Rattus norvegicus: one gene and its partner. The protein of the gene in region 1 purifies or fractionates together with the protein of each later gene. This does not show direct contact. Links are inferred from orthologs where the notes say so. Each region holds a gene or a part of one and is shown on either strand. Other genes may lie near its edges. The genes, in order: Inpp5k and Gart.

Evidence for each region.
Region 2: the proteins of Inpp5k (region 1) and Gart purify together in Homo sapiens (co-immunoprecipitation; 3 studies listed by BioGRID and IntAct, counting the BioPlex papers as one, with this or other methods). This does not show direct contact. The link is inferred for Rattus norvegicus from reciprocal best matches to the Homo sapiens genes INPP5K and GART.

The regions. Positions count from the first base shown.
Region 1 is NC_086028.1:60,966,979-60,982,321, reverse strand, and holds the start of Inpp5k (inositol polyphosphate 5-phosphatase K), read right to left. Parts: upstream 8,140-15,343; 5' UTR 8,030-8,139; coding exon 7,977-8,029; intron 6,068-7,976; coding exon 5,960-6,067; intron 5,681-5,959; coding exon 5,572-5,680; intron 1,720-5,571; coding exon 1,603-1,719; intron 1,252-1,602; coding exon 1,076-1,251; intron 531-1,075; coding exon 419-530; intron 1-418. UniProt on the Homo sapiens protein: Inositol 5-phosphatase which acts on inositol 1,4,5-trisphosphate, inositol 1,3,4,5-tetrakisphosphate, phosphatidylinositol 4,5-bisphosphate and phosphatidylinositol 3,4,5-trisphosphate.
Region 2 is NC_086029.1:44,364,338-44,379,252, forward strand, and holds the start of Gart (trifunctional purine biosynthetic protein adenosine-3), read right to left. Parts: upstream 12,750-14,915; 5' UTR 12,680-12,749; intron 12,664-12,679; exon of another isoform or gene 12,527-12,663; intron 9,450-12,526; 5' UTR 9,411-9,449; coding exon 9,266-9,410; intron 8,038-9,265; coding exon 7,942-8,037; intron 7,742-7,941; coding exon 7,567-7,741; intron 5,738-7,566; coding exon 5,626-5,737; intron 4,984-5,625; coding exon 4,915-4,983; intron 4,242-4,914; coding exon 4,116-4,241; intron 3,102-4,115; coding exon 3,014-3,101; intron 2,610-3,013; coding exon 2,524-2,609; intron 2,198-2,523; coding exon 2,029-2,197; intron 913-2,028; coding exon 681-912; intron 1-680. Other genes in the region: protein SON, read left to right, coding at 13,692-13,768. UniProt on the Homo sapiens protein: Trifunctional enzyme that catalyzes three distinct reactions as part of the 'de novo' inosine monophosphate biosynthetic pathway.

The DNA of each region.
Region 1 (15,343 bases):
CACTCACACATATACACACACATACACATTCACACACACTCACACTCACACACACATTCACACACACACTAACACACATACACTCACACACACTCAAACACACACACTCGCACACGCACACACATTCACGCACACACTAACACACACTCACACATGTACACACACACTCACTCACACACACACTCACACACACATATACACACATACACATTCACATACACACACTCACACACACATGTACACACACACTCACTCACACACACTCACACACATACACACACATTCACGCACACACACTAACACACACACTCACACACATATACACGCACATATACATTCACACACACACACACTCACACACACACACACATTCACACAAACTCACATTCCGTACCCCAGACATCTGCTCACTTAATACCTGATCTTTCTCCCACAGCTCTTTGTAGCGCTTCTTTGTTATACACTCCTGAACAAAGAGCAGCCCAAAGTCCTCGATTCGAAAGTTCATGTCTCCAAACCACAGAATGAGGCTTCAGGAAAAAAAGGAGGGCAGCCTGAGGGTTTGCGATGAGGTCAGTGAAGAGGCACGGGCCTGTTGAGCACAAGAGCTGCTGAGGGGGAAAAAGCTGAGGGGAAGGTAAGCAGCTAGACTCCAGGAGAGCAGCAGGTGAAGGCCAGGACAAGCTTAGGTCCTATAGGACAGTCCTTGGCTCCAGTGCTATTACTTAAGTTAAAGGGCTTTCCCAGAGGAGCACATGGCAAATATGAGGAAGGCTCTACCTCCTGCTCCCAAGCTGCCCATCAGGACAAGCTAATAAACAGCCCTGGGTGAACTCAGGAACCACCAGGGCCTTGACCGGGGATGTTTACAGTTGTCCAGGGTTCCTAGGAAGGACAGAGAGGCCAGAGGAAAGGAGACATCAAGCAGGCAAAGCTGAGTGGTATAGCAGATGGGACACCAGGAAAGGGGTTGGGAGAGGGAGCCCTCCTGACTGGCAGGAGAGTAGACTTGGTCAATGCTAGTCTGGCTGGCACGGGAGAGGACAGGGATGACAGTTTGTAGCTTCAGGCTCACTCATGGTCCAGGATGTTGGGGACATCATATCCCTCAAAAGTCAGACTCTCCAAGATGCGGTCAAAGTGCTCCAGGCGCTGGTCATTGTTGTACATGTGGGGAGGCAGGTGGCAGTTGACGATGCTGACATAGTAGCCGTAAAGCTTCAGACAGATGTTGATTCCCCCTTTGTTCCCCTGGTAGGAAAGGTGGGAAGAAGGGTGGGGAGAGACTCTGGATTGTATACATACCCCTCTTTTCCCACGCTGGGTCTGAGGAGAGGCTGTCTTACCTCCCCCAGGATTTCAGCCATAGACACACAGCTTCCCAGCTAATTCTTCCATGCACAAAGCTCAATACCCAAATCTAGGATCTCAGGAATATCCAGGCCCTGCTGGGATGGCAGGGTGTGGGGTGGGTTATGGGGGTGGGTATGCAGGGTCCTAGGCTACACAGAATATGCAGACTCAGTTGACTTCCCCTGTTTTGCTTAGCTTTGCAAAGCGTCCCTTGTTAGCTCAAGTCTCAGACCAGAGCTCAGTCCTTACCCAGTACCCGTAGAGGCCAGTAGGAATGGATTTTGTAGAGATGATCTGGATGTAGGGCAAATGCTGATACTTGGCAAAGACCAGTAAGAGAAGCCCCTGCATACGGACTTGAGAGATCTGCATCGAAGGGCAAAGGTCATTTATTAAACTGCGAAGGCCAATTGCATCCCTACTAAGCCCAACTAGGGACTTTTAAGAGTCTGAAACCACATGCAAATCCCTGCCTGAAAGTCTATGGAGCCCAGTTTAAGTCTAAATTTCAGCTTTTTCCTTTTTTCCTCTGAACTGCAAACAATGTGTTCCAGGGGGCTTCCAGGGCAGCTCGCCACTAGAAAGGCACTGCTTGCCCAGCCAGCCCATGGCCATGGAGCTGCTTCTCTTACATATGCTGTCCTAAGAGCCCTGGAGACTTCCACATCTTTTAGCCTCTCTTCCCATCGAATGAAGCAGGATAACACCATGCCTACATGAAGGTGTTATTTTTTTGGTTCAGTGTATATCTGTGTGTAGGTGAGCATTGTGGAGGTTATTGGGTGTTCTGTTCTATCAATTTCCACCTTGTTCCTTTGGAACAGGATCCCTCACTCACCCTGGAGCTAGGCTGGTGGCCAGTAAACCCAGTGAGTCTCCTCTCTCCACTCCCCCATAGTGCTCATATATGGGTGCTGGGATCCAAACTCCTGGAGAAGCCATTGCAACAAGTGTCCTAACCCACTGAGACATCTCTCCACCCTACTCCCCTTTTGATACAAGGTCTTGCTAGGTGTCCCAGGTAGATCTTTTTTTTTTCTTTTCTTTTTTTGGGGGCTGGGGATTGAACCCAGGACCTTGCGCTTCCTAGGCAAGCGCTCTACCACTGAGCCAAATCCCCAACCCCCCAGGTAGATCTTTAACTGCCAATCCTCCTGCCTTAGCCTCTTGAGTGCTGGGATTACAGGTATGTGCTCCCATACCCACTTTGGCTTAGGGACTCTTCAACATAAGCAAGAACAAGAGAGACACTTTTAGGGTGCAGTTCTGAATCTTGAGTTGACTGATAGCAATTCAAATGCAAGAATTAACTGACTCTACACCTACTTACTACACCCATTCCTAATGCTGAGGACCAATTTCAGAACTCTATGCATGCTGGGTAAGCATCTGAATACTTTTCTATACATGTTCTAGCCCAGTAAAACAGTACCATTTAAATTGGTGTGTGTGTGTGTGTGTGTGTGTGTGTGTGTGTGTGTGTGTGTGTGTGTGTGGTGTGATAACTAGAAAGTTAGGCATGATGGCATATGCCTGTAATCCTACTGCTCAGGGGGTAGAGGCAGGAGAATAAGGAGTTTAAAGCCAGTCTATGAGACACAGTTGCAAAAAAGTAAATAACTTCAGACTCTGGCTGAATGTCCACCAGGGCAGTGCACATGAAGTAAGTGTTGAGCATGGAGGCTCTGGAGGGGAAAGTAGCTAACACCCAGGAGAGGCCAAGCTTTCCCCCAGCTGTCACGAATCACTGTTCCTAGCTTGCTCCCTAGCTTGCTTGTGCAGCATTGAGATTCTGGGAGGCAGAGGAACTAGGAAGATGGTTTGGGGATTGCCAAATGCCTACTACTAGTGACTGCAGAGGTGGGGTGGGAAAAGCCCACCCCTAGTGACCCTCTTTCTCAGGGCTGGATTGTCCACCACTCCAGTAGCTGTTTCCGGAGCATGAGGTGCAAAGGCCAAGGAGGAAATCTCCGGGTGGGGAGCTGTACTGGTGCCTTCCAGGAATTATGAAACCTGATCCCCCAATCCAAGGGCAGCCCCAGCACTGCAAAAGAGTCAAAGTAGGGAGGTCCCCAAACTCAGTACTGAGCAAGGGAGGTTCTGGAGCCTGAGCCCTCTGGGTTGCTACATATGTAATACTAACCTACTCTCTAAGTCGTCTTAATTTTTTGTTTTTGTTTTTGTAACAGGACTTAAACCTATATAGGCTCTACCACTGAGCTATAGTTTTCTATTTCTCCCATTCACAACTATCTATGACAATAGAAATCTGGGCAGAGTTATTTTATGAGGGACGAAATCCCAGGGTCAGGACAGAAACCAAGAAACAGATAAGATTCAGGAGTGGAGTTACATTTAATCCTAACTAACATAGCAGGTTTGGGCCACTGGGCTTTCGCACAAAGACCAGTGCACTTGGTGAGAGAGCAGCAGGAAGCAGGGAACAGGGCAGGGAGTGTGAGACTGGGAGAATGGGGGGGGGGGGGTTGTGAGGAAAAACTAGAGCCTTCCAGGGAAAGTTCCAGTGCGAAGAAACTAAATTGAAGGAGCTGTGGGGACTGGCAGGAGGTGACTAGACACTGGACTGCCAAAAAGGGTCCTCTGAATTCACAACAGCTGGTAAATCCCCACAAGGAACCAGCTATAAATAGGGTTTGCCCATCTATTTGGCTAAGGAAAGGAGAGACATATGCTTTGTGTTCCTAGACCTCAATTTTAGGAGGCCACATGAGTGGAATGGGTTGGGCCCTGACACAAGTTGAGCTAAGTTGGTAGGGTGGCTCCATTCCATCCTACCAATCCCTTGCCAATTTGTCAAGGCACAAGGAGTCACGGAATCTTAGGAAGAAATGAGTTTTGGGACAGGAGGTTCTTCCCTCCATGAATAGCTCCAAGTCTTCTAGAAGAGGCATCTCAGTTTGTTCTGTGGGAAACCTAAGGGTTCTGGGGTTGACACTACCCAGCCTCAGGAGAACCAAGTCTTGCATTTCTCTTTCTCAGAGCCACACAGCTCTTGCTTCAATATCCCTGGGCAAACCAGGTAACTGAATTTCTACTGAAGAATAAAACTCATCCTAGAAAGGGAACAAAAGAATTCTGGTATTTCCAAGAAGCTGTGAACTAGATACTCTGATTAGGAGTTGGTTCATGGGGTTGGGGATTTAGCTCAGTAGTAGAGTGCTTGCCTAGCAAGCGCAAGGCCCTGGGTTAGGTCCCCAGCTCTGGAAAAAAAAAAAAGGAGTTGGTTCATTCATTGTGGGTACAGGGCAGAAATAAAACCCAGGGGCCTGGGGCTGGGGATTTAGCTCAGTGGTAGAGCGCTTACCTAGGAAGCGCAAGGCCCTGGGTTCGGTCCCCAGCTCCGAAAAAAAGAACCAAAAAAAAAAAAAAACAAAAAAACAAAAAACCCAGGGGCCTAAAACCTTCCAGTCAGTCTGCTATGGTCTAATGAATCCCCGAAGTCCCCAAAGTGCACTGGTCCCTCAGACTAAGAACCACTTTGCACTACACCTGTCTTCCCCTCTTCCAACTTCTGAGCCCCTCAGAACTTGATATCCATGTTCTCTGTGATATCAGCAGGTTAGCTTTGGAATTACCTGTCAGTCTTAGCATACATAAGCAGAGCAATAAAATATGATAGTTTAGAACAAAAGCCAGAGACGTGAAAAATCTGGATTCGGATTCTAGAGAGCCCATGTGATTTCTTAGCTTTGGGTTTATCTGTAAAGTATTTCTATCTCGAGAGTTAAGACTGAAAAATAACACACACCAAGAGCTTACTTATAATGCTTAACATCAAATCAACACTCCATAAATTGTAGCAAGTACTATACTCCAGAGATTTCATGCTGGGCAGTAAGAAGAGACCAGAGGGTAGGACAGGAGTGAGCACTGAGATATTGAAAAGCCCTGATGCATTACCACTAGGAATTCTCCCAAGGTGAGAAATACCTAGGTGTGAAACTGACCCCTGGACTCATAGCTCAGACCCAGGCACACTGGGACAGCATGAGGAAGGCAGGAGTTCCAGGGAGCCAAGTGTAGTATGTGAGGGTTAAACCTTTAATGAATGGGAAAGAACATGAAACGCTGAGTGGAGAAAGAGGAATGCATCAGACAAATGGTTAGCTGAAAGGGAGAAAGGGAAACCTATCGGACAAGCAATTAGAGTCAGAGTAGGTGACACACATTCCTCCATTGCCTGTAAACTTAGCTTACCTTGACAAGGTTCAGTGGAGAAAGCATATCCATGAAGAAACTGCTCCATGGGTCCTCAAAGGCAGCATCAGAAAGAAGGCTTATGATCCCATAATTCATTTCCTGCAAACTGACCATTCCAAGCCAGAGGCTCATCCCTGGCCTGGAGGACACTGCCTCTCCCACACATAGCATCAGACCTGGGTTCTGAAAACCAAGAGGTCTCCCTTCCCCAGCTGTGTGGCTGCTGCCCTTCTATCCATGACCATTGCTGACCCAGGACAAGAAACACAAGACAGGACCCACTGAGGATGAAAGCTCAAAACAAGACCTTCAGACTCCAAAATGAGGGAGGACAAGTTACATTAGTCCTCTACAGGGATGGGGGTGGGGCCCCCTAGACACCTACCCAATGATATATATGTCCAGATTCAGGTCTTCGTTGTTCAGTTGAAGTAGGTCACTGAGGTCCACAGTGGGGGCTGCAGAGGCCACATTCCATGTTACAACGTGTATGCTGTGGAGAGGATGTTAAGTCACGGAGAATGGAAGCTAAGATTTTTCCAGATAATGGGCAGAGACCTAGACACGTTTAAGGCTTCCACTACAGTGATCATTGGAAATGTGTCGGCATGTTTGTTTCATGGATTTTGGTTTTTTTTTGTTTTTTGTTTTTTGTTTTTTCAGGCTGTGTCTTACTATGCAGCCCTGGCTGGCCTCAAACGCCTTAGATAGAGATCAGTCTTCTTCTGCTTCCTAAATTCTGAGATTAAAGTTGTGTAGTACTATGTTCAACTTGTTTGTGCGTCTTGTGGTAGGAAAAGAGGAACAGGAGTGATGGACTACACAGCTTTTACCTTCCCTTCTCTGTCCCGAAAGCAGGAACCTCTTCCCGTGAACTGGCTCTTCTAGGAAGGTCTACAGTTACCTGGCAGTACCTGACACAGAGCTGCCCAGGGGAGCTCAAAAGCCATTGGCCAGAAGGAGAGGATGATGAGTTTGATAGACAGGAACCTATTAGCCCATCAGCCCCTACACCTCACTCATCCTTTATGGCTCAGGCAGCAACTCTGAATGCCCACTCCTTAACCTATGGGTTCCGAAGAGCACCAGGAAGGAGTTAGAGGTTGACTGTACATGACCGCATGCTTCAGAGCTCTGAGAACAGGAATTCAGAAAGAACAAAGTTGACAGCATATTCCCTTCCTCACTCTTACCTTGCAGATCCTTGGAGCACAACAAACTCTGCTAAGGCCTTCATTGAGCCTAGGTACAAGTTTCTGAGTAACAGGTTTCTTAATATCTGTCTCAAGAGTCTACTCTCTATTGAGAAAAGTCATCAGTTGGAACATAACATTCCAATTTCTGCTCTTTACAAGTCTCAATATCAGGAAAAATAATTAGCAGTTCTTAAATACCATCAGAAGCTCAAAAAAAGGCAAAGACTTATAGAAGCCTTCAGCGAGGGTGTTGCTATAGCAACAGCCCAAGAAGCCCAGACTGTCTCTGGGACAGAGCAAGCAGGAACTCAGCCTATACAGAGATGAAACCTGTGAGTTCCAGGAATACTGAGGCACTGAAGCATAAGACCCTCAAGATCCACCCAGAAAGGACAGGGCAGGCTATTCTAAAACATCTCCTCTCCACCAGATCCTGTTCTCAGAGGTATGTGGTCTTAAAGCATGAATTGTAAACAAAACAAAACAAAAAAAATTCTTGGCTAGCTTAAGGCAGCTCCCTGGCTCTCCCCGTGAAGATAAAATACTAAAAAAACCGCTTCTCAAGCCCTCCTGTTACTTCGTCTGGTTACAGTCTCCCCCTGCTGTCTAGCAGAGGACTACGGCAGGTAACCCTTTTACTCAATGGCTCCTTGTATTCCCAGGAACTCTAAGTGGATAAAGACTAGAACTCGGGATTTGTCATCCCAATTTTCAGTTTTAATGATTAGTAACAAATCCATGCACCGTGATTTATTGGACGATTAGCGGTGTTCCTCGTGATTAAAGAGCAAGCATGAGACCAGGTTTCACCTCGCTAAAGGATCTTATCTAAATCTGATTTCGGATTTCTAGAGATCACAGCCGGATCAAGAAGACCCCATGATGGACTGCTGAAAAGTAGGAACAAAACTTCTAATCTACAGCTGAAGAGGAGAATGTTGGTCCTTAGCAGTCTAAACCTGTGTGCTCCAAAAAAACAACTGGACACTTGCTTGGGAGCATCTGCAGTGACCAACTCGGCAGCCCAAGTTTAGAGCGTGCATCAGTCCTAGCATACATAGCCTACATACTGGCCTGACAGAATCTGGGTGTCTAAACTAGGGCAGCCTTGATCCCACTGTGGTTTTGAAACCCAGCCCCATAAATCAGACTGGGCTGAAGACAGCTAACCGCCAGGAACCTACCAGCCAACACCTGTGTTCTCACCTGAGCATAAGCTCTTTTGGTGCGCTCGGCTTCCTTAGACTCGCAGTCGTCATTATTCCTTCGTGGTAATGCTGTAGGTTCGTGTCTCAGCGCTGCAGCTACTGCGAGCCGGAGCAGCCCTTGGTCTCCGGTCTCAGCAGCACAGCTCCCTCCGGATTGTTTTTCTTCCGGATTCTGACTGCGCTTCGGCTTCCGTAGGAGGTGGATTCTGAACGTCTAGGGCTTTGGGGTGCGGTTGGGGAACAGAGGCGGGACTCTATAGCCCAGAGGCGGAGTGAAGACCGCCCCCCACCCCAGAGGCGTGTCCAACGTGTCATCCACCCCCGACGCCACACCGCCCGCACCGACGTGCGAGTGGGTGGTGGCGCGGCCGCCCAGGCCCGGTACTCCCAGTCTGCTTTGCGCGAGGGCGCGGGCGGAAGTTGCCGTGGCTCCCGGACTCGGACTGGTTCGCGGTCCCGCGGTGTACGGTCTTCCCTGCCGCCTACCCACCTTCAGAAGCCGGGAGTGGTCGGGACCCGGAGGCTCACTGTAATCTGTTCGGCCTCCCTCGCCCACACCACAAGTAATATCTCAAGTTCCTTGGCGCCCCCATAGGGGGTCTCAGAGCACTTCATTCTTTTAAGTGACTCAGTGGTCGTCGTTTGAGGGGTTTTTTTTTTCATCTGAGACAATCTTGCTTTTTAGTCCTGGGGCTTGTTATGCACACCAAGCTGATTCTCCCACCTCAGCCGAGATTACACCACCACGCCAAACTCGAAACTAATTTTGTTGAATACAAAGCAAAAAAAAAAAAAAAAAAAAATTCCAGAGAGCCATCAGTGAATGAAAACAATTCGTTGCTATTTGGCGTATATTTATGATTATTTACTTTGCCAGACACTTCGGTTTATTATTTCCTTTAGATTTTTGGGTCTTTATTTTTGAGGGCGGAGGGATTGTGCATAGGATGGTTTTTATAATTATGACTTCCCTAAGGAAATGGAGTTTTAACATAAAATTCAACGCTTGAAAGCTAAGTTAGTGATTTCTACCTTTTAGCACAACTGTAGTACCAGCTACTCAGTGATGCCTTGTCTCAAGAATCCACAAACACCCCGCTACTTTATATGTTCTGGAACCAGGTGTAGTGATGTATTTCCAAAAACTGTTTTGACTGTATGACTACTCCCAAGTTTGAGTCCAGTTTGGGCTATCTTCAGCTTACAGGCCATTAGAACTGCTGTGATTCGTTCTCAAAATTAAGGAGGGGACAACCTCTGCTACCAACTCTAACCACCTGAGCTTTACCCCTGGAGGGAAGACAAGAATCACTCAAAGTTGTCCTTTGATTCCTGCATGTAGCCATAAACACAGTAATAAGGAAAACTGAAAGGGCTGAAGAGGGCTCAGAGGTAAAGAGCAGTTACTGATGACTGACTTCGGGTTTGGTTCCCATCACCCACATGGTGGCTCATAACCATTCTAACTCCAGTTGCAAGGAATTACTTTTCCCCTCTGGGTATCAAGCATACCAGTGGAATTAATCTTGCCCACTTGTAGTGAAATTAACAAACCTCGTCTAGTATTCTCTTTTAGGCCAAGCTGTGTGTGTGTGTGTGTGTGTGTGTGTGTGTACACCAGGCCAAGCTGTGTGTGTGTGTGTGTGTGTGTGTGTGTGTGTGTGTGTGTGTACACCAGAGTGCAGGTGACTGTGGAGACTTGAAGCTTCAGATTCCCCTGGAGCTGGAGTTACAGGCAGTTGTAAACTGTGATGTAGGTGGTAGGAACTGAACTCAGGTCCTCTAGAAGAACAGTACATGCTCTTAAGTGCTGAGCCATCTCTCTAGCCCTCAAAGTTTAATTTTTTTTCTTTTTAGAATGCTTTGGGCTTTTTCATTCTTTCTACCCACCCAACCTCTTCACCATGCAGCTGCTCAAAAGGGAGAGTTCTTCCAGGCAGTTGCCAAATTTACATCTTGCTTGTCTTGCTGTTTTTGCCCTGAAAATAATGAAGTATTTTAAGTCCATGACTTAAAGAAAGAAGGAAGGAAGGAAGGAAGGAAGGAAGGAAGGAAGAAAAAGAAAGAAAGAAAGAAAGAAAGAAAGAAAGAAAGAAAGAAAGAAAGAGAGGAAGGAAGGAAGGAAGAAAGAGCGAGCTGGAGAGATGGCTCAGTGGTTAAGAGTGGTTAAACTGTTCTTCCAGAGGTCCTGAGTTCAATTCCCAGCAACCACAAGGTGGCTCACAACCATCTGTAATGGGATCTGATGCCCTCTTCTGGTATGTCTGAAGACAGTGATAGTGTACTCATAAAATAAACAAATCATAATAAATAAGTAAATAAATAAATGTATTACTTAGTAGAGTAAGAGAGACAAAAGCAAAAGTGACTGTTGAGATATGCATTGCTGCATAAGAAAGCTGAACTGACAAGGGACTTTTTTAATGTGACTTTTTTTCATGCCTGTTAGGTAAATACTATCACTGAATTACATTACACCCCCAGCCCGAATCCATACTGGAATTGACTTTTTTGGACAAGGAATACTTTATTTACATAAAATGTCAGAAACACCACTGTATCTTTTCATAATCCTCTCCTGGTAAATAAAGTGGGGAGACATCAGTAGGAACTTTAAGGGTATCTAAGTTGAAAAATGGACATAGGAATATCACCAATAAGCTGGACTCCAAAAAAACTCTGTCTAGGATTTTATTAGACTGCTTTTTTTCCCCAATATACCTGTATTGGAAGATTGAGACAAAAAGGCACAAACTCACATTAAATAAACAGGTAATCTAATTAGTTCTATAAAGTGTAGTCTGTAAAAGAAGTAGCACTAAGAACCAACCCAAGAAAGTCAGAGGTCCCAGCAGGGCCTGTAAAAGGAGAATGTGGAAGGATACACACATGCCCACAACAGTGACCTGTCCTGTCCCTCCCCAGTGTCTCTCCACAAGAAGGCTGGAGCCCAGCAGGCCTTGTGCAGAGGTACTGCTGCTCCCTTTGGGAGTAAGTCAGACCTGGAAATGTAATGGAAGCAGCCAGTCTGAAGAGGCGTGGCACACTTTCAGGATTATCACAAGACTGAGCCTTTCATCACCAGCCCTCTGAGTGCTAGTCAATTTTGGGGGGAGGTAAAGGAAGGGGAGAAGTTAAAAGCCAACATGTGCCCAGCAGCAACACCAGCCATGGGGCTGGAACAGACAGGGATATCCCTCCTTTGTGTTTATGTAGGCAGGAGCCCTAGATCCAGGCTGGTCTCAGGAAATTGTAGTTCGGATCATTTGGATGCTTTCAAACATGGGCAACAGCAGGGGCACAGGCAGGTAAGAGCAGGCCTGGACTGAGGCTGATGTGACTGATATGTATGGATCTCATGAAGTGCTGAAGGAGACAAACATCTTTTGAGCCTCACACCATGTAAACAACTATCTGCTTAGAGTATCAACTTCTCTCAAGATAACTCACATCTGGGCTTCAACTTAGTTACTGAAGGAAAATCTTTAAGCACAAATATGATTTGACAGGTAATACAGAGCTTATATGAGCACATTTATATTTTTCTCCATTAGGAATGCCTGCCTCTTCTCCAACTTTCCCATGCTACTAGCAGGTGATATGCTAATCACCAACCAAGACGCCCCAAGTACATTCCTAAAGACTCCACAAGGTGGGGTTGGGGATTTAGCTCAGTGGTAGAGCGCTTGCCTAGGAAGCGCAAGGCCCTGGGTTCGGTCCCCAGCTCCGAAAAAAAGAACCAAAAAAAGACTCCACAAGGTGAGGAGACTAATACAGAGGAAGGTTTCTGTAAAGGACATCTCCTGGTCTTAAAAGAACCTCAAGGAAGGTCAGAGCTAACCATGCTGAGGGGCCCAAATCTGTCTACCCTTGCTGCAGGAGGACCACAGGGAAGCGTCCAGTCAGGATGTCACAGGTGCAGTCCCTTGAGACACTCACTGCCTTATTGCACTTAGAAATGAGTAAGGCAAACACTGACAAAGACAAGGAGAACGATCCATCCTACTTCTCACTCCCCTAGCAGAGATTTGGTCTCTAACAGGTACCCTGGCTAGCATGGGCTTGGATCACTACACACTGGGCTGACTGAACAAGGCTTGGGAAATGTCAGGTGACACAACTATATCCCACTCTCCCACCAGAAAGGCATACTCAGCTCCTGCCAATCTAGAACTAGGAAGTGCTCTGCAGCTTCTTCTCTCCTGGAGCCTGGGCTTCACCAGCCTCCTGTGGTCAGCGTTCCAGGCTACAGTCACTCACCAGCCTACGGTGTAAGTGTTCTAGGCTACACTCACTGCTTGATTTTGATTGTCTAAGACAGAACTCAGTATGGGGCAGGATGAGCTGAGTTCTTGATCTGCAAATTCCTGTCCAGTAATTAGAGACAGGAAGGTGTATGTTTTGCTAGGGATAAGAGCTTTTTGCATGCTTGTTTTGTGCAGCATGAAAAGACCAGGACTCTTGCACCCTAACCAGCCTCCGAGAGGACAGGGGCCTAAGAAAGCACAGAGAGGGTTATTGCTGAGTGGCAGCACCAGCCCGAAAGGGAAGAGGAGCATGGACAGACAGAGCTCCCCGGGGGTCTGATTGGTGTCTATGGGCCACACTGGACAGTTCTCCAGCTGGGCAGTGGTGGGTTCTCGTAGGCTCTGCAAGGAGATTCAGCGTGGGCAACAGGAGGGCTGAGAAGCCAAGAGTTCTAAAAATATTAACCAGAGATGCAATGACTCGAGTAGGGGTTATTTATTATTTGCTAAATTTTCTTAGACTGGCTGGGCCTTGGGTGCCTTCTTGGTGCTTAGAGCACGCGAACAAGAGGTTACTAGGAGCAGAGGTCAGGGTTCTGAAGCCACATTCCTATTGTGAGGAGCTAGGGTAGGTGTCTCTGTATTTTTAACTCCTCCTCTCTCCCCAAGTGAATATTCAACATTGCCAAAGATCTGCCCAGGAAGCAAAATAGCTCAGCTTATCCCAAGGCTGAAATAAGTGAGCTTAAATAATCACATCACAAAGGCAGCACATTTGAAAGAATGAGAACGTCACTTGGAAATAAAGGGGGAGGGCATACAGAAATGGGTCAGGGCACAATGGAGAGAGGATGAGCTGTAAATACAGCAGCATACACCATATATCTTAGAGGATCAGGCTCCCGCACACACAGGCTTTATAATACCAGACGGTCTATTTGTTCACAATGTTAAAGGGCATCTAGAAATAGCTATAGTAAGGGACTGAAAGTTGCCTGAAGAATGAGCACAGAAAGGCTGCGTCCAAAGATGGCCTGCCACTCAGGAGGGTGGAGCTGCTGGGCCTTCCTGTGGACCACTGTCTTGCAAAACTAGAAGAGAAATAGAAATTATTAAGAAAGCAACGAGGGAAAACACAAGAACACAGTAAATCATGACAAGTGGAGAAATTCCAGGAGGAAGGGTGCCAGTTGGTGGGGGCCTTGGAGAGAGGGTACTAATGTTCTGGCACTGACTACACTGACTACTGGCATCTGCTTAATCCTCCCCTTCCATCTCCCAGAAGCTGCTTAAGAACACGGGTTAGGCTGTGGACACAGTGCTTGCCTAGCTAGCACTCACACAGCCCTGGGTTTGACCCAGCACTGGAAAAAAAGAACCATGAGAAAGCCAAAGAACAAAAAGGTCCTACCTAGGTTTCCTTGGCCTCTTGGTGCTAGAGGGTGCTCTTTGAGCAAATAATTTCCTCGCCACCTAAATGGGGGCAGAGTCAGGTACCTCACTCTGTGCTGCAGGATGAGTCTTCAAGTAAATAGGTTACTCTGTATACTGTATACAAGTACACACTGAAGAAGTGCTAGCTTTGAGAACTAACAGAAGGAGAGGCCTTGGGGAAGAATGACAGGTAAAACAAGGGACACCCAACTTAGCCCTATGACCTGGATAAAAAAGTCTTCCAGCACCTGGAGGATGCTGCCTTTGTTGAAGGCAGAGTTACTTAGTATGCTAGCACCAGGAGGGTATCAGATGTGCTGAGTGCTAAAAGCTGTCCAGCTCCTTTTCCAAGGGATGGTAGAAAATGCCAGTGTTAGGGAGTCAAGAGTTGACACTGGTGTGAGCCTAGGAAGTGCTCTAGCATGCCAGCTTGAAAGAGCTGGTAGCAAGTGAGGAGGAGTGCTTAGTGGCAGTGTACATCACCCCACTGCACACCACCACCTCCACTCTCACACTGCACTCCTCCTCCACTCTCACACTGCACTCCACCTCCACTCTCACACTGCACTCCTCCTCCACTCTCACACTGCACTCCTCCTCCACTCTCACACTGCACTCCACCTCCACTCTCACACTGCACTCCACCTCCACTCTCACACTGCACACCTCCTCCACTCTCACACTGCACTCCTCCTCCACTCTCACACTGCACTCCTCCTCCACTCTCACACTGCACTCCTCCTCCACTCTCACACTGCACTCCTCCTCCACTCTCACACTGCACTCCTCCTCCACTCTCACACTGCACTCCACCTCCACTCCTCACACTGCACTCCTCCTCCACTCTCACACTGCACACCTCCTCCACTCTCACACTGCACACCTCCTCCACTCACACTGCACTCCACCTCCACTCTCACACTGCACTCCTCCTCCACTCTCACACTGCACTCCTCCTCCACTCTCACACTGCACTCCTCCTCCAATCTCACACTGCACACCTCCTCCACTCTCACACTGCAAACCACCTCCACTCTCACACTGCACTCCTCCTCCACTCTCACAATGCACTCCTCCTCCACTCTCACACTGCACTCCTCCTCCACTCTCACACTGCACTCCTCCTCCACTCTCACACTGCACTCCTCCTCCACTCCTCACACTGCACACCTCCTCCACTCTCACACTGCACTCCTCCTCCACTCTCACACTGCACTCCTCCTCCACTCTCACACTGCACTCCTCCTCCACTCTCACACTGCACTCCTCCTCCACTCTCACACTGCACTCCTCCTCCACTCTCACACTGCACTCCTCCTCCACTCTCACACTGCACTCCTCCTCCACTTTCACACTGCACTTCTCCTCCACCCCTCACACTGCACTCCTCCTCCACTCTCACACTGCACTCCTCCTCCACTCTCACACTGCACTCCTCCTCCACTCTCACACTGCACTCCTCCTCCACTCTCACACTGCACTCCTCCTCCACTCTCACACTGCACTCCTCCTCCACTCTCACACTGCACTCCTCCTCCACTTTCACACTGCACTTCTCCTCCACTCCTCACACTGCACTCCACCTCCACTCTCACACTGCACTCCTCCTCCACTCTCACACTGCACACCACCTCCACTCTCACACTGCACTCCTCCTCCACCCCTCACACTGCACATCCACTCC
Region 2 (14,915 bases), on another chromosome or scaffold:
TACCCGCTGAAGAACTTAATGAAAGGCAATGTGATATTTTTTTTTTTGACAGGGTTTCTGTGTGTAGCTTTGGCTGTCTTGGAACACTCGGGCTAGCCTTGGACTTAAGAGCCCCCTGTCTATGACTCCCAAATGCTATGATTAAAGGTGTGAGCCACCACCACCCCAGCGTGATGCGTGATATTCTTAAAAAAAAAAAAAAAAAAAAAAAAAAAAAAAAAAAAAAATCGAAACACTCACGTGGCAAGCAACAAGTTTATTTATCTATAGGAAGTATCAGCTAATAAATAATCAGGAAGTAGTAAACACTCAGGTGGGAGACAAAGCAGGACCTGTGACTCAAGCTGCAAACGTTCAACTATGTAATAACTCAAGGAGTAACCATCTTTAATCTCCACAGACTTTTCAAAGATAAGGAATTGCCAACGGCTTTCATTATTTTTTCAAATATTACTTTGATTTTTTTTTTTTTGTGGTAGGTGATATAAAGGTCTTATTATAGACTATCCTCAAATTTGAGATGCCCTAGAAACAATTTAGATTTCAACCAAAATATGAACGAAGGTTCAGTCAGCTCCACAGGCAGGAAACACAGAGTGACTTAAAATAGGGCTCCAGGCTCCCAGCCATGGAGGCCAGTTCTGAGCCTGCACCCGACTGTCTCAGAGGGAAATCTTTACCTGGGCCGCTGGAGGAAGGCCACAGCACGGAAGCCAATGTCCTTTCGGTAAACTGCTCCCTCAAACTTTAGAGCAGCGAGTCCCTTCCTGGCCTCATCAAGGGCTGACATGAGATTTTCCCGGACAGCTGTCACTGTGAGGACTCTGCCCCCGCTGGTCACCACTTTGGCATCTTTAAGAGCAGTGCCTGCATGAAAGACCTGCAGTCCTAAAGCTTGGGCCTCAGGAAACCCTGGAAAAGAGAAGAGGTTTTAAAAAAAAAAAAAATGTTCCTTGTTTCTTCTTTTTTGAGACAGGGTCTTCACTACATAGACCAGGCTGGCCTCAAACTCAGTGACCTTCCTGCCTCTCTCCCTCTACAACAGAGATTTTGAAATAACATTTCATCCTGTGCTATGGTCCTATTTTAAAAATTCTAGTGTCTGGGGAGTGAGAAAAAAAACCATTCCGTTTTGGTGAGGGATAGGAAAAATGCCCGAAGTGGTTGAGACTTAAAAGCATGGCTAGTTTTTTTCACAAGTGCTTTCAAAGATAACACTATTTCTTTAACGGTGAAACAGCCAGTTACAAGGATAACACTCTCATCTCCATATCTCACTCTCCTGTCCCTAGTGTCGAGCAACACCTGCTGTGATAATGTGCTAGCCAAGGTCTGAGTGTCTGACGAAATGATGCCACCCACCCAGCACAAATGACTTCATGCCTACTACTGGTAGCGACCACTACGTCGTTACGGAAATTGCTATCACACTCATCAGTCCCAGTGTGAGGAGAAAGGTCATCATCACAAAGGTTCTTGGTTCAATCTCATCTCTCTATTCCCTTACAGAAGCACACAGCTCCTGAGTGTGTGAGCCCACGGTGACAGACTTCTTGCTTACTTTGCTGGGCAGGAGAGAAAATACAGCTCTTGAGGCAAACACACTATGTGAGCACTTCTGAGCTACACTACAGCACGTTAGCGAACACAGAGGTTCTGGCTGGATGGCACAACTTATCTGGCACTTCATTTTCATTTATAAACAGATTTAACACCATTTATCCAGATACTTCTTCACAGCCTGTTAAAAAAGGGGGAGGGGGAACTAGATTTCAAACATTAAATCCTGCCATAGAAATCCCCATCCGGCACTGCACTTGCAAAGCAGAGTTCATGTCTCTCAGGTCTCACTCGTCCATGCTAACAATGCAAATCTCACCCTGCCCACCACCCGGCTCTGGGAAGGAGGAGGTGTGGGGCTGCAGTGAGATCACACTGGGAGTCTGACCAGGTCACTCATGTCTCTCGGAGCAGGAAAGAACACGAACGGCACTCGCTGTGGCAAACCTCTTACCCACTGCTCCTCACCTGTAATCTCCACACCCTTGGTGTAGGCTCCAGGATACCCTCCACTCGCCATGACAACAGTTACGGCACTGTGGTTTTCTAGCCAAACAGGCGGAGACTCGCTCAGCAGGCCATCAAAGGTGGACTGAATCACTTCATAAAGGTCACTTTTAAGAAGTGGGAGGATGACCTGGAGGAAGAGTCGGGAGGTGGACCAGATGACCTTTTCATAACCTCTCCTTATCTATGGTTCCCACTCATTCCCTGGGACACTGATGGAAGAAAAGGACGCTCTCCTGAAGCGCGGGTGTGGACTACTGCTACTATGTTGTTCTGGTTATTCCTGCCAGTGTTATTACCACCACCATTGCCAAGTCTCTCTCTGGAGCCCTGGCCTCTGGAGCTCACTCTGTAGACCAGGCTGGCCTCACACTCAGAGCTCCAGCTGCCTCTGCTCCCCGAGTGTTAGGATTAAAGACATGAACCACGCTAGCCAGTACTTTATTTGTTACCCACCTGGCATTCTGGATCACCAAAACGGCAATTAAACTCCAAAACTTTTGGGCCATCTTTGGTCAGCATTATACCAGCATAAAGAATTCCTTTATTAAAAAAGAAAAAAGGAAACCAATCTGTAATGGCGTAATGACAACAGTATGTTATAACTACAAGACCTAGAGCATGAATTATTTTTTGAGATAAAGTCTCAGGCATCGCAGGCTGGCCCTGAGCTCATTCTGAGTTGAGGACAGCCTTGAACTTCTGATCCTTCTACCTCCGTATCCCAGGTGCTGGGATTACAGGTGTGCTCCACCATACCCAATTTATGGTTGTTGAGCTTCATTCATCCTAGGCAAGCATTTTACCAACTGAGCTCCAACTCTACTCCTAGAATACAAGCTTCTAATACTAAACACTGCACTGTGATTAGAGCTGTAGAAAAGAGACAACGCATTCCAGCCAAGGCACACAGGTGCTGTAAAGACATTCTGTGCAGCCTGCTTACCTGTGTACGGCACCCCCTCCTGCTGCATGCCATCTACTGTTCTCTGAAGAATTGTGTTTTTAATTTTTACTAACAAATCCTTAGGAACCTGGGGAACACACAAACATTTAGATGTAACTGTTTTGTTTTTAAAATCACTTAAGGCTGGGTGTGGCGGTGTGCTGCATTAATCCTAATACCCGGGAGGCAAGGGCAGGTAGATGGTGAGTTTGCAACCAGCCTGGTTTATATAGTTCCATGCCACCCAGGCCTATAGGAAGAACTGTCTAAAACAAAACACAAAGCCTCACACAACAGGGAAGACTCTGGAGATCAAAGTTCTCATAGTAAGGACAGGATGGTGACAAAAAAAAGGAACTAAGTCAGTGTCTACTTTCACTTTCCCTCAACCCCTTGCCAAACACATCAATCTTAAGGCCCGCCCACCTCCATCCAGTCACTATTTCACCTCAACAAGGCCTGCCCTTTCCTCAGACACAATGCTTAAATTTTCTCCCCTTCTCATGCTCCTTAGGAATCCTTCTAGTACATGCTACCCAAAATTTTAAGCCTACATATCCATGGATATGAGTTAGTATATTTAATTGAGGAAATCAGGCTTACAGACAGTTGTCTCAAGATGAATATTGCCAAAGCCCATAAAAGATGCTTGCTTTTGCTGGTTTTTTGTTTTTTGTTTTTTTTTGGAGGGGGGTCAGAGGGACAGAGCCTCCCTATGTAGCTCTGGCTGTCCTGGAGATGCTCCTGCTTCTGCCTCCAAGGTGTTGGGATAAAAGGGGTACACCACTGCTTCTGGCTAATAGAGAGTTCTTATACAAAACTGACCAGCAATTGGGGACACCGCCTCTCAGTATTAAGTAGACAGAACAGTTATGGCTTGTCCTGGATCTCAATTCTTTTTGTGTATTCTAGGCCCTGTACTGAGAGGGGAAAAGAATGATTCTGGATCTCATGGGTGTACACAAGGTGGGAGGGGACAGAGTCAGAGTTCATTTAATTCCCATTTTTTTAAATGCTAGATGGCTGTCAGTTCCTCTCAGGCTTCCCGAAGCGCTTGTTAGAGAAAGAGTCAGACCGTGGGATCAGGAGCAGCACACAGTACCTGAGGTGCAGGGCAGTAGGCTCCCATTCCTCCAGTGTTGGGTCCCCGATCTCCATCCAGCAATCGCTTATGGTCTTGTGCTGGGGGCATTGGGGCCACTGTCTTCCCATCAGTGAAGCACAGGCACTGTGGAGAAGACAGATTAGTCCAATCAGGTTAAGTTAAATGTCAAAAAGTCAAACAGGATTCTTCTGAGAGGAAAAGGTTTCATATTTGAAAAGCTTGAACAATAATTCCTAAGTCAGATGGCCTGAGCCAGAAGACCTTGGCTATCCAACCTGAAAAGGACCTGCCGTTTGTAGCAACAGGGACAAAAGGAGGTTCTACCCAAGACAAAGATCGACCTTCCTGCTGTCGAGACATCCAGCACTCATGCTATATTTAAGTTGCACATGCTGTGTAATAAGTGTATGTGAAACAAATGTACAGAACTTCCATAGTGTGATTTAAGTCCAAGTACTCCTACCAAAGCATAGACCAGTGGTTCTCAACCTGTGGGTCATGACCCCTTGAAAGGGGTCACTTATCCAATTACTTACATTGTGATTTATTAACAGTAACAAAATTACATTATGAAATAGCATAAAAATAATTTTGTTTGGGGATCACCACAACACAAGGGTTGCAGCCTACAGGGGCTGAGAGCTACTGGTGTGGGGATGATTAAAGAGAACACAAGGGTGTGCGTCCTCTGAAACTGCTGGGCTCAGGTTCCCACAGGAAGCTGCCAGGGCTAAGCAAGGTTTTTTGGTTGTGGGGCAGGGTGGTGTGTGTTAAGGGCAGGGATGGCTGTACGTACAGACACTTCTTCCCCTTCCAGAAGCTCCTCCACGACAACAGTTTCACCGGCTGCTCCAAATGACTTTTCCTAATCATAAAAATAAAAGGCCTTGTAAACTTCAAAGCTTTTAATATTTACCAAGTTGACTTATAGAACTGTCTCCTATTTGAGTTATGAAATACACGAGCATTGGAATTCTTTCTTGTGTGAAGACTTAACATGGATTTGTCTGGCCTCTCTTGAGACAGCAGGCAAGGCTCACACTGTACAGATGTGATGCACAGATCTCTTAGTTTGCTGACACAATTTCACCATCATCCTTATTTCTGAAGATGACTGTGTAGCTTTGTTCACATAAATGAGACAAAACCAAGTATGTAAAAATGGATTTCTCTAAGAGGCAACGCCATAATCATTAATGTAGATTAGCAAAGAAACATTGTATCTACCCACTGCTCTACTTTTAAGACTTGGAACACACACTTGGAATGCCTTAGTTCTCATGGACTTGGAGCGTGATCTGTAAGTCCCATGGGCTAAAGACCCTCTACCTTTCAGTAGCAGACACTATGGCGTTTAGACACTGGTGTAGCTCATGACCTGCCAGTTAAATACGGATAACCCAGGCTACAGTGTGAACTATCTTCCAGGGCTGGGCACACCCAGGGGCCACTCTGTGAAGCTGCAGCATCTACCCACACAGAGAGCCTTTCAGAAGCATCCACCCACTTGCATGATCTCCTGAACAGCTTCGCAGGCTTCAGCTTTGCTCTTCGCCACAATCACCCCCTTCCCTGCTGCAAGGCCACTGGCCTTCACAACCAAAGCAGGAAAGTCCGCGCTGTGAAGACAGGGAGCAAACAGTTAGTGCTCTGTGATTTGGAACAGTATGTTTCAGCAAAATTGAAAGGTACACAGAAAAAAATATGATGCCAGTATCATGCCAAGATTGTTTTATATATTCCTTTGTAATTTTGATCATAAAGCATGCACAATTTTGCTTTTCACATATAGTGGGGTCCCATAAGGAAGAATCTGTAAAGACATAACCAGATCTGTAGAGCAGATGGGATAATCATTAAGATACAAAGCAAAGCCTCTCAAGATACAAAGCAAAGCCTCACACTTACGTAAGGGACACTGCAGCAGGAGACCTGACTAACACTGGCAGACACCCACAGACCATTCCTAGAACACACAGCAATGGAGTGGGCTGGAGAACTAGAAGGAGGCTAGCCAAAGTAAGTAACAAAGCTGTCACTTACCCAAGGCGTGTGGGTACAGGGCAACAACAGTCAGTGTTAGGGAGATGGTAGGAGTTGGGCAGAGGGGGCATTTGTCTTTTATCCCAGCACTTGGGGGCAGAGACAGGTGAATCTCTCTGCGGCTAGCCTGGTCTACAAAGTGACAGCCAGGGCTACACAGATAGCTCTACCTTGCCTGACCACTATCTCTGGAAAACCTCATAGGATGAAGAATGAATAAAGAATGAACTAGGGTCAGTGAGGTGGCTGACCTGAGTTTGATCCCCGGAACCCACATGGTAGAAGGAGAGAACTGACTTACCAGCTACAGTCTCATTAAGTGTTGAGTTGTATGTGCACGGGCACACACACACGCACACACATGCACACACACACACACAGAGAAAGAAAGAGAGAGAGAGAGAGAGAGAGAGAGAGAAAACATGACCCAACTGAAGGTTAATGAAGGGTGGCTGGAGGGAAAGAACAAAGTGGGGAGAAAGGCATGTGCGCTCAGGGTACTCAATGCTTTCCACACATAGGAGGGAAGGGTACCTAATGGACACAGGTTTGATTCCCAGCACCTACTTGGTGGCTCAGAACTCCAGACCCAGGGCAGCTAAGCCCTCACCTCACCTTTGTGGGCACACAGTCATTCATGCAGGCAACACACCCATACACACAAAAGAAAGAAACCTTAAAAAAACAAAACAAAACAAACAAACAAACAAAAAAAAGCCTTACAAATTCAGTAACTCTGCTGGGTATGGTGGATCACACCTACTGTCCCAGCATGTGGGAAGCTGAAGCAGGGGGACTGCCATTAGTTTAAGATCATGCTGCTGCTGTGACCCATCACTGTGTTTCTGGGTTGCAGGACAACATATATTTCCTTAGAGACTTCTCAGTAGTGAAGACATCAACACACAGTCTACTACACAGGAAGCACACACAACATCCTAGGCTTTTTTCTTCTTCTCCTTTTGGTTTGAAACTGGGTCCACGTAGCCCAGGCTAGCTTTGAGCTGACCCTTCAGCTTCTACTTCCCAAATGCTAGAGAATCCCATCTTATTTTAGTGTTGAAAAAGGACACCAGTTATTGTATTGAGAGTATATTTTCATAATTAATTCAATATAAACCTGTGAAAGCCTAAGAAATAAACATTTTTTATTCTTTTTTTGTTTGTTTGTTCATTTTTCAAAACATGGTTTTTCTGTGTAGTCCTGGCGGTCTGAAACCTTACTCTGTAGACCAGGTTAGCCTCATACTCAAGAGATTCACTTGCCTCTGCCTCCCAAGTGCTGGAATTAAAGGGCTGCGCCACCGCTGCCCTGGCCTATACATTGTGTTTTTAAAGATGAAAGTGACTGTACGTTTAAGCACCATTATAAAACACCTGCCCTTTGAAGGTCATCTTTGCCCACCTCATAATAAAGCTGCAGGCGTCTTCAGGGCTGGTGAATGCCCGCCACTGTGCAGTTGGGACGCCATGTCGGTCCATAAACTCTTTGGCAAACTTTTTACTGGACTCCAGTAGAGCTGCTTGTGCCGTGGGGCCAAAGCATCGCACTCCTGCAGAAGTCAGGTCCCCAACAATCCCTACAGAAGTAGCAAACAGAAATCTAGTGATCAGGGTCTCTCTCTATAGATTTAGACTGAGTTATGATGACTAAACTCTAAGGGTTGAAAGCTCCTAATGTATTTTGTTGCAAATCCTCATCGATAAGTGATTGAGATAAAATGATCTCTAAACTTCTATGGACACTGTGTATGTTGTAAGAATGAGAAATAAAATTTACCTGCAGCCAGAGGGGCCTCTGGTCCAACAACTACGAGTTCAATCTTTTCATCTTTGCAGAACCGAGCGAGAGCAGTGTGATCATTGATGGAGACAGCTGTAAGCAGAAAATATAAATTCATACACGTGCAAAAATATCTCCAGTTAATGAAATAAGCTAACCACTATCCTTAGTAAGATAATTAAAAACCAAGTTAATTGTTGGTTTGCTTTTGTTGGTAGTTAGTAATCTCACCATGAGAGATTCCGAATAGTGCATTAGGTTAAATAAAGCTCAGTAGCAATTGAGTGATTCCCAATATTATAGTCCAACTGCCCCTGTCCCAGAGTTGGTTACAGGGTTAACAGACAAGCCCAGACAATACACTAAGAAACTTGTCTTTTAAAGATCACTCAAAGTTTACTGAAAATCCACTATGTATTAGGTTCTGTGATAGGCCCTGAGATTAAGATGTTACAACAAACTAGTATCCTCAATCTTGGGATATTAATAATACAGTGCATGAATATTAGCTAGGAACTACATAAGCAATAGCAAATGTGGACGAACTAAGCCAATCTGCTGTAAGGCAAACTGGGAGGCTGGTTCTGGTCGAGTCAGGGAGGGTCTTTGAGCTGTTTAAGCAAAGAAGGCAATGATTCTATGTAAGAAAACTCTTCTCCATGTCTAGAGAAGGCCAGGTTCTCCATCCAACACCACTGGACTCAGTTGGATTAACCAGATTAAAAGTGAGGGCACACCCACCCTCAGCTGCTGCAAATGGCACTAAATTTATGACAATCCCGGGTGATTCTGATGAGTGGGTCCCTACAACCCCAACTGCACATGCCACTCCTTGTCTCTAGACAAAGCACCACCTCAGAGAAGGAGGTATTTTATTATTATTTCTGTCTTTTCTCTAATTCTCTCCATAAATATGATGCGCCACATTGGCTACTGTGCAGACAAGGCGAAACAAGACAGGTAGGGTAAGATGAGGAAGTCGGGCTTTATCTTACGGCCAGCAACTGTTGAATGTAGTTCCGGAGCTGATCACCAATGGGACCAGAATCCACATCTGACAGCCCCGTCAACTTTCCATACATAGAAAGTGCCTTTAATCCACATTATGCACTGGTGGCCTTTTCAGTCACAGTGGTTCATAAGGCTTAAAATACACTACTTTTATTTACCTCATACAATGAGAATTCAGTTACTACCTTCAAAATGTAAACTTAGAGAGAACGCATTCAAACTTAAATAGAAATACACCTTATTAAAGGGCATACATGAGCTACTGTTTATTATCAACAGATATTAACTCCGCATTTAGAAATGTGATTACCAGCATTGGAGATCTTCCCAGCAGAAGCTGTGCCTGCATTTCCTGGGGCAACCAGCACTTGTTTGACATGAGGGGATTGTGCGAGTTTCCAGGCCAGGGTGTGTTCCCTTCCTCCACTACCGATTACAAGAACTCGGGCTGCCATTGTTGTCTCCGAAGCAGGAATTCAGAAGCCAAATGAAACCTGCAGAAAGAAAACCATAGTCAGCATCTTAGAATACGTGTATTTGAAAGACAATCTCTCTTTTTTGGTGGTGTTTTATGTTGTTAATTTTTGTGTGTGATGGGGTTTTGCCTGTATGTGTGCCTGTGTGCCACAGCTGTGTCAGGTGTCCATGGAGGCCAGAAGAGACTGTTGGATCCTCTGGGATTGGTTAGCTGATAATCGAACCCCAGACCCCTAGAAGAGCAGTCAGCACTCTTAACCACTGAGCTGCATCTCCAGCTATTCTTTTTGTTGTGAGAAAGCCATGCTATGTTGCTCAGGCCAGTCTCAAACTCACGGCAACCCCTGTTTTAGCCACCTTCCAAGTGTGGGAACTATAGGCAGGTACTGCCACGCCTAGTTGGACAAACCATAATTTATAAATAGGATTTTCACGTAATACTTGTTTTCACACGAGTGACATCCAGAAATCCATTACTTAAAGATTGGGATTTACGGTAGGACATGTTGGTGTACGCCTCTGATCCCAGTACTCGAGAGGCAGAGGCAGGCGGAGGCAGGCAGATCTGAGTTTGAGGCCTGATTGCTCTACATAGGGGCTTCCAGGATAGCCCTGGGAACACCCAAACAAACGAACAAACAAAAAACAAAAACAAACAACCCCCCCCCAAGACCTGGAAAGATGGCTCAAGGTTGCTTTTCCAGAGGATTTGGGCTCAATTCCTAACATTTGTATGGTGGCTAACAAGGGTCTACAACTCCAGATCCAGGGGACCTGACCTTCTTCGATGTCCTCCTTGGGCACAAGGTACACATACATGCAGGAAAAATACTCATAAAATAAAAAACTAAAAAAGCAGATGCCCCACCCCCAAACCTGGAGGTTAGAATTGGAAAGATGACCATCGTCATGGAAAATAGGGCGTGTGCTAAGGGGGCGGAGCCACTTACAGAGAACAAATGCCCCCATAACCATAAGCCTACACAAATAGTTTTCCTTTGTAACTTACCCACCGTAATCCCATAACAGTAAACCCAACCAACCAACCAAAAGCCTGTATACTAATACAGCACCTCATTTGACCAACCAAAAGCCTGTATATTAATACAACACCTTATCTGGCCAATCAAAAGCCTGCATACTAACACAGCACCTCATCTGAGAAACAATCTACTGACATTCCTTCTCTTGTGGACCATCTGATAGTCACCAACCCTTAGCAGGAAAATGGATTTGATGTTTGCTTATTTATTCAGGAGATGGAGCCTGCTAGCTACTTTGCTTACTCTAGATCTTAATTCCTAAGATCAAGAGATTGATTCTCTGTGCTGGCACACTCCTTTAATCCCAGCACTCAGGAGGGAGAGGCAGGTAATCTCTCACTGTGAGGCCAGACTACAGAGTGAGCTCTATGACAGCAAGGCCTACAAGCAGAGAAACCCTGACTTGAAGAAAAAACCAGACTCTCTTGTCTCAGTCTTCCAAGTAGCTAGGACAACTAGTGTTACACCCAAATTTATAAATTTAAGCCTTAATGTGGTACAGAGAACAGGAATTAACAGTATACAATTTCTCTGTCAAGGGCCAGGAAATAAATATATTTGAGGACTATCTGTGCATTGTCCAAACTATGACATTTGTATTGTAATGTTGACAGAACATTAATGTACTGTCCCTTCTAAGTGAGTGTGTATCACCCAGAAAAATGATTTATTTAAACACTGGGCAGAGGTTCTTTGCCTAATCAGCGCTCTACACAACAGCAAGCCATTATGCACAGGAGGTTCATAACTAAGCGTATTTTGGGCACTGCAACTTCAACCACTAAACCAGTTTTCCTTCAACAGTTTTCTCTTTTTGAAAGACAGAGTCTCTCTGTATCCCTGGTTGTCTGAGAACTTGCTATGCAGGTCTCAGGCCCTCAGAGAGATCCTCTGGTCTCTGCCTCGTGAGTGCTGAGATTATAAACAAGTGCCACCACATTTGGCTTCTCCCATTTGTGTTTGGTGTTTGTAAAAAAAAAAAAAAAAAAAACAAGTGGCAAAATTTTGTTTATTGTCATAAGCTTGCAGGCTTATGATTTGAGATCTTATTGGATGCTCTGGATTGGAAATATGTTAGAGAAACCAAAATCAAATATGAACATATCTCATTTGAATACAGGCATTTGCTAAAAGTTTAGTTCTTAAGAATTAACTGAGATGGCATTAAAATATTGTCTACTATAAAGTATCCTATTGCTTAGAATAAAAGTTCAAAATCTAGCACCCAAAAAAAAAAAAAAAAAAAAAAGGGAGGGGAGGGAAAGATATTATCAAGGTATTTACTTATACGGAAGATGGTTACAGAAAAAAGAAAATTGAAATCTGTAACTCCTAAATCGTTACTTTATTTTGGGATTTCATATTTAAAGAAAAAACAAGCAGACTAGCAAGGTCTGTTAAGAACACTTTGTACTTAGTTTAGTCTCCTGCACCCACAAGGTGGCCCACAAACATCCTAACTCTGGGTCCAGAGACTGAACGCCCTCTTCCGGCTTCTTTGGGGCGTTCATTGTGTGCACGTGGGCACAAACATACATCAACACTCCTTCACATAAAATAGACTTTAGTTCAACTCTATGTGTCATTTTCTTAGAGATAGCTGAAGCTATTAGACCTTAATATATAACTTGAATAAGAACAGCAGTGCAAGAAGACAATTTTCACTTACTACTCAGCATTTGTGAAACAGCAATACTGGTCTCTTTACCAGGAGAGGCTGGGGTGCCTGGGCTCCGTTGTCAACATGGCCTTACCAGTCGGGAAACCAGGAGAGACTTTTGTAACTTCTTGGGTGTCAGTTAACTAGCAGGCTATTTATAGCGAGAATAAGAGCCAGGTAAGGAGAGAGTAAAAGAGTCCGGTAAAACCACTTCCAAATATTTGTTTTAAAAGAGTAGAAATCGAGTAAGAAAATGGTCCAGGTAAACCTAGCGACAATGATAAAACCAGAGCCGATAGAAAAAGCCATTGGTGTACAGAGTTCGTCTTTAAAAGGCAGAGATACACAGAAACCTGGACCCGGCCTCAGAATTAGAAAGCTGGTAAAGTACCTGGCCGACCTCTGTCAAGGCTGTGCAAAGCACGTGGCCTTTTCGCCAGCCACGCCAAGTTTCAATAGCAGAACCGGTTGCTGAGGTTAAACCCACAGGTCAGAGCGTAAACGCAGTCCACGCATCAATTTAAAAACTAAGGGATTCACGCACCTGCAAGCCCGGCCACGCAGCTCGCATTCGCACCCGCCACTCGCACTCGCCGGAAGTTGGCCCCGGGAATCCAGCGCGCTCCGGCCTCTGCCCCGCCCCCGATGGGCTCTGCTGCTTATTGGCCGGCCCGCCTCGGTCCCCGCCCGCGAGGCGATCCGTGTGGTTCCTCCCGCCTTAGGGTGCGGTCGGAGCCCGCTGCCTACAGGGTCGAAGAATCCCTGGTTCCAGGCTTAGTGCTGACACTTGTCAGGGGGTGCCACCTAAGGTTCCTCCGTTTACCGCAGAGCCTCCTGCACTGGGGGCAGAGCCACGGCTACCTAATTGTGACCGCTAACCAAGCGCCAGGATGGACCGGCTAGGGCTGGACTCCGGATGAGTCCAAGTGCACCCCGTTTAGATCGCAGGTCGCTTGGACGCTCCAGCCTTTGCTAAAAACACGTGACGCCGGTTATAGGAAGTATCGAGACAGAATGGGGAATCGCTCCTTTCCACTTCACAGTGGGGACACGGGATGGGGGGAATTTCTTTCTCATGCAGGTCTTCCAGACCAAAGTAAACTTGGCGCTTGCAACAAACGCATCAAAGCTCCGCGCTATACAATCTGAGGCCTTTCTTGTCTCCTTTTTCTATGGTCTCTAATCTCAGGCATTTACTCGCTACGGAAAGCCTCTTAGGAGTCCCCACAGGCTGAGGGGATCAACAGCTGAAGCTGTCGCGGTCATCTCCGGGAGCGCCTTCTCCTGTAATGGCGCCTGCGTCAAACACTAACATGGCGGACTAGTTCTTGCGCGGCGCAAACGTCAGCACCTCTACCCCGGGCGGCTCAGAAACAGCGGAGGAGAGCGGGCCGGTGCTCGCTGATTGGCTCGTGGGTGGAGCGAGCCCGTGCGGACGCTCCCCCATGAGCCAATGAGGGAAGGGATAAAAGGAATTGGCCGCTGCGCCTCCTCCCGAGGCATGCTGGGAGCCTGGAGGACTAGCGAGGAGGAGTTGAGAGAACGGAGCGGACGCCATGGCGGCCGACATCGAGCAGGTTTTTAGGTCTTTCGTGGTCAGTAAATTCCGGGAAATACAACAGGAGCTTTCCAGGTAAACGCTTCTCAGACTTTTCTGCTCCTCGCGGGCTGTTAGGGCTTCGTCTATCCTCCCGTGGCATCTTTCATGAAGACGCCGTCGTTTCTCGGCTCAGGCCCCGCTACGGCCCCGCCTGGGCCTGGGATCCATTTTCCGGGCCATCCACCCTCACCCCCCCCCCCAAGCCTCCGTTCGTTCCTTTCGAGAAAGATCGCCCCTTCCGCGGTGTTCGCACACGCAGTTTCTTTCTTCGAGTTAAGATGTTCACCTTCCTCTCGTTTGGACACCCCCTACCCTCCAGCTACTCGGAGGCCCGGTGTCCACCAGGGACGGGCCTAGTTCCTTCCCCAGCTCCTCCTCCGCCGCCGCCTTTCCCCTCCCCCTCCCCGCCTCCGCGCATTTCGCCGGCCGGTGTCTATGGCCGGAAAGGGTCTCTAACGGCCGCTTCTTGGGCAATCTTAAAACTTCTTTATTATTGTACGCTTCGGAACGTTTGGCCACCGGAGTCTATTTATTAGACAGACGCTTCGGGCCCCAGTTAGTGCTCTGTGCTTTAGACCGGATAGCACTCTTTACACAGTTGTAAACTAAAACGTCTCAGTTCGATGTGAGACCCAAGAGAAAACATTCGACAGGACGACAGAAGGGGGCTTTGAAACTGTTGGGTGCTTAATTTTATTGAGTGGAAAGTGGAGAATGTGTGTGGATATGTTATTTTTCTTGCTACCCCGACTTAACGGACGGATTTGAACATCGTGCTATTTTGTCACTGCCAGTAGACTTCAGAGATTAGCCTTGGTTCTCAAAATTTCATGTTGAAGAGAGCTCCTTAGTTGTTTACTCGGGAAAATGGTGTAGGCCATGTTAGGTTTTTTAATATTGTTTTGTATAAAATGACCATTTCTTTAAAACATGGTAGGAAAGATAACTTAAAAAGTAAATATTCCGAGGTAAATTTTTTTACTTTTTTTTCTTACGAGTGGTTTAAGTTGAGAACAGAGCAATACATATACATGAGTTAGAAAAATCAGCTGATAAATAGTTGTAATTTATATGCCCAAGTTAACTAGGATTATGGATACCATAATATTAATAACAATAATTTACTGCAGAAATTGTTTTTTTTTTTTCAAGATAGGGTGTTTTTGTTTTCTATTTTCTT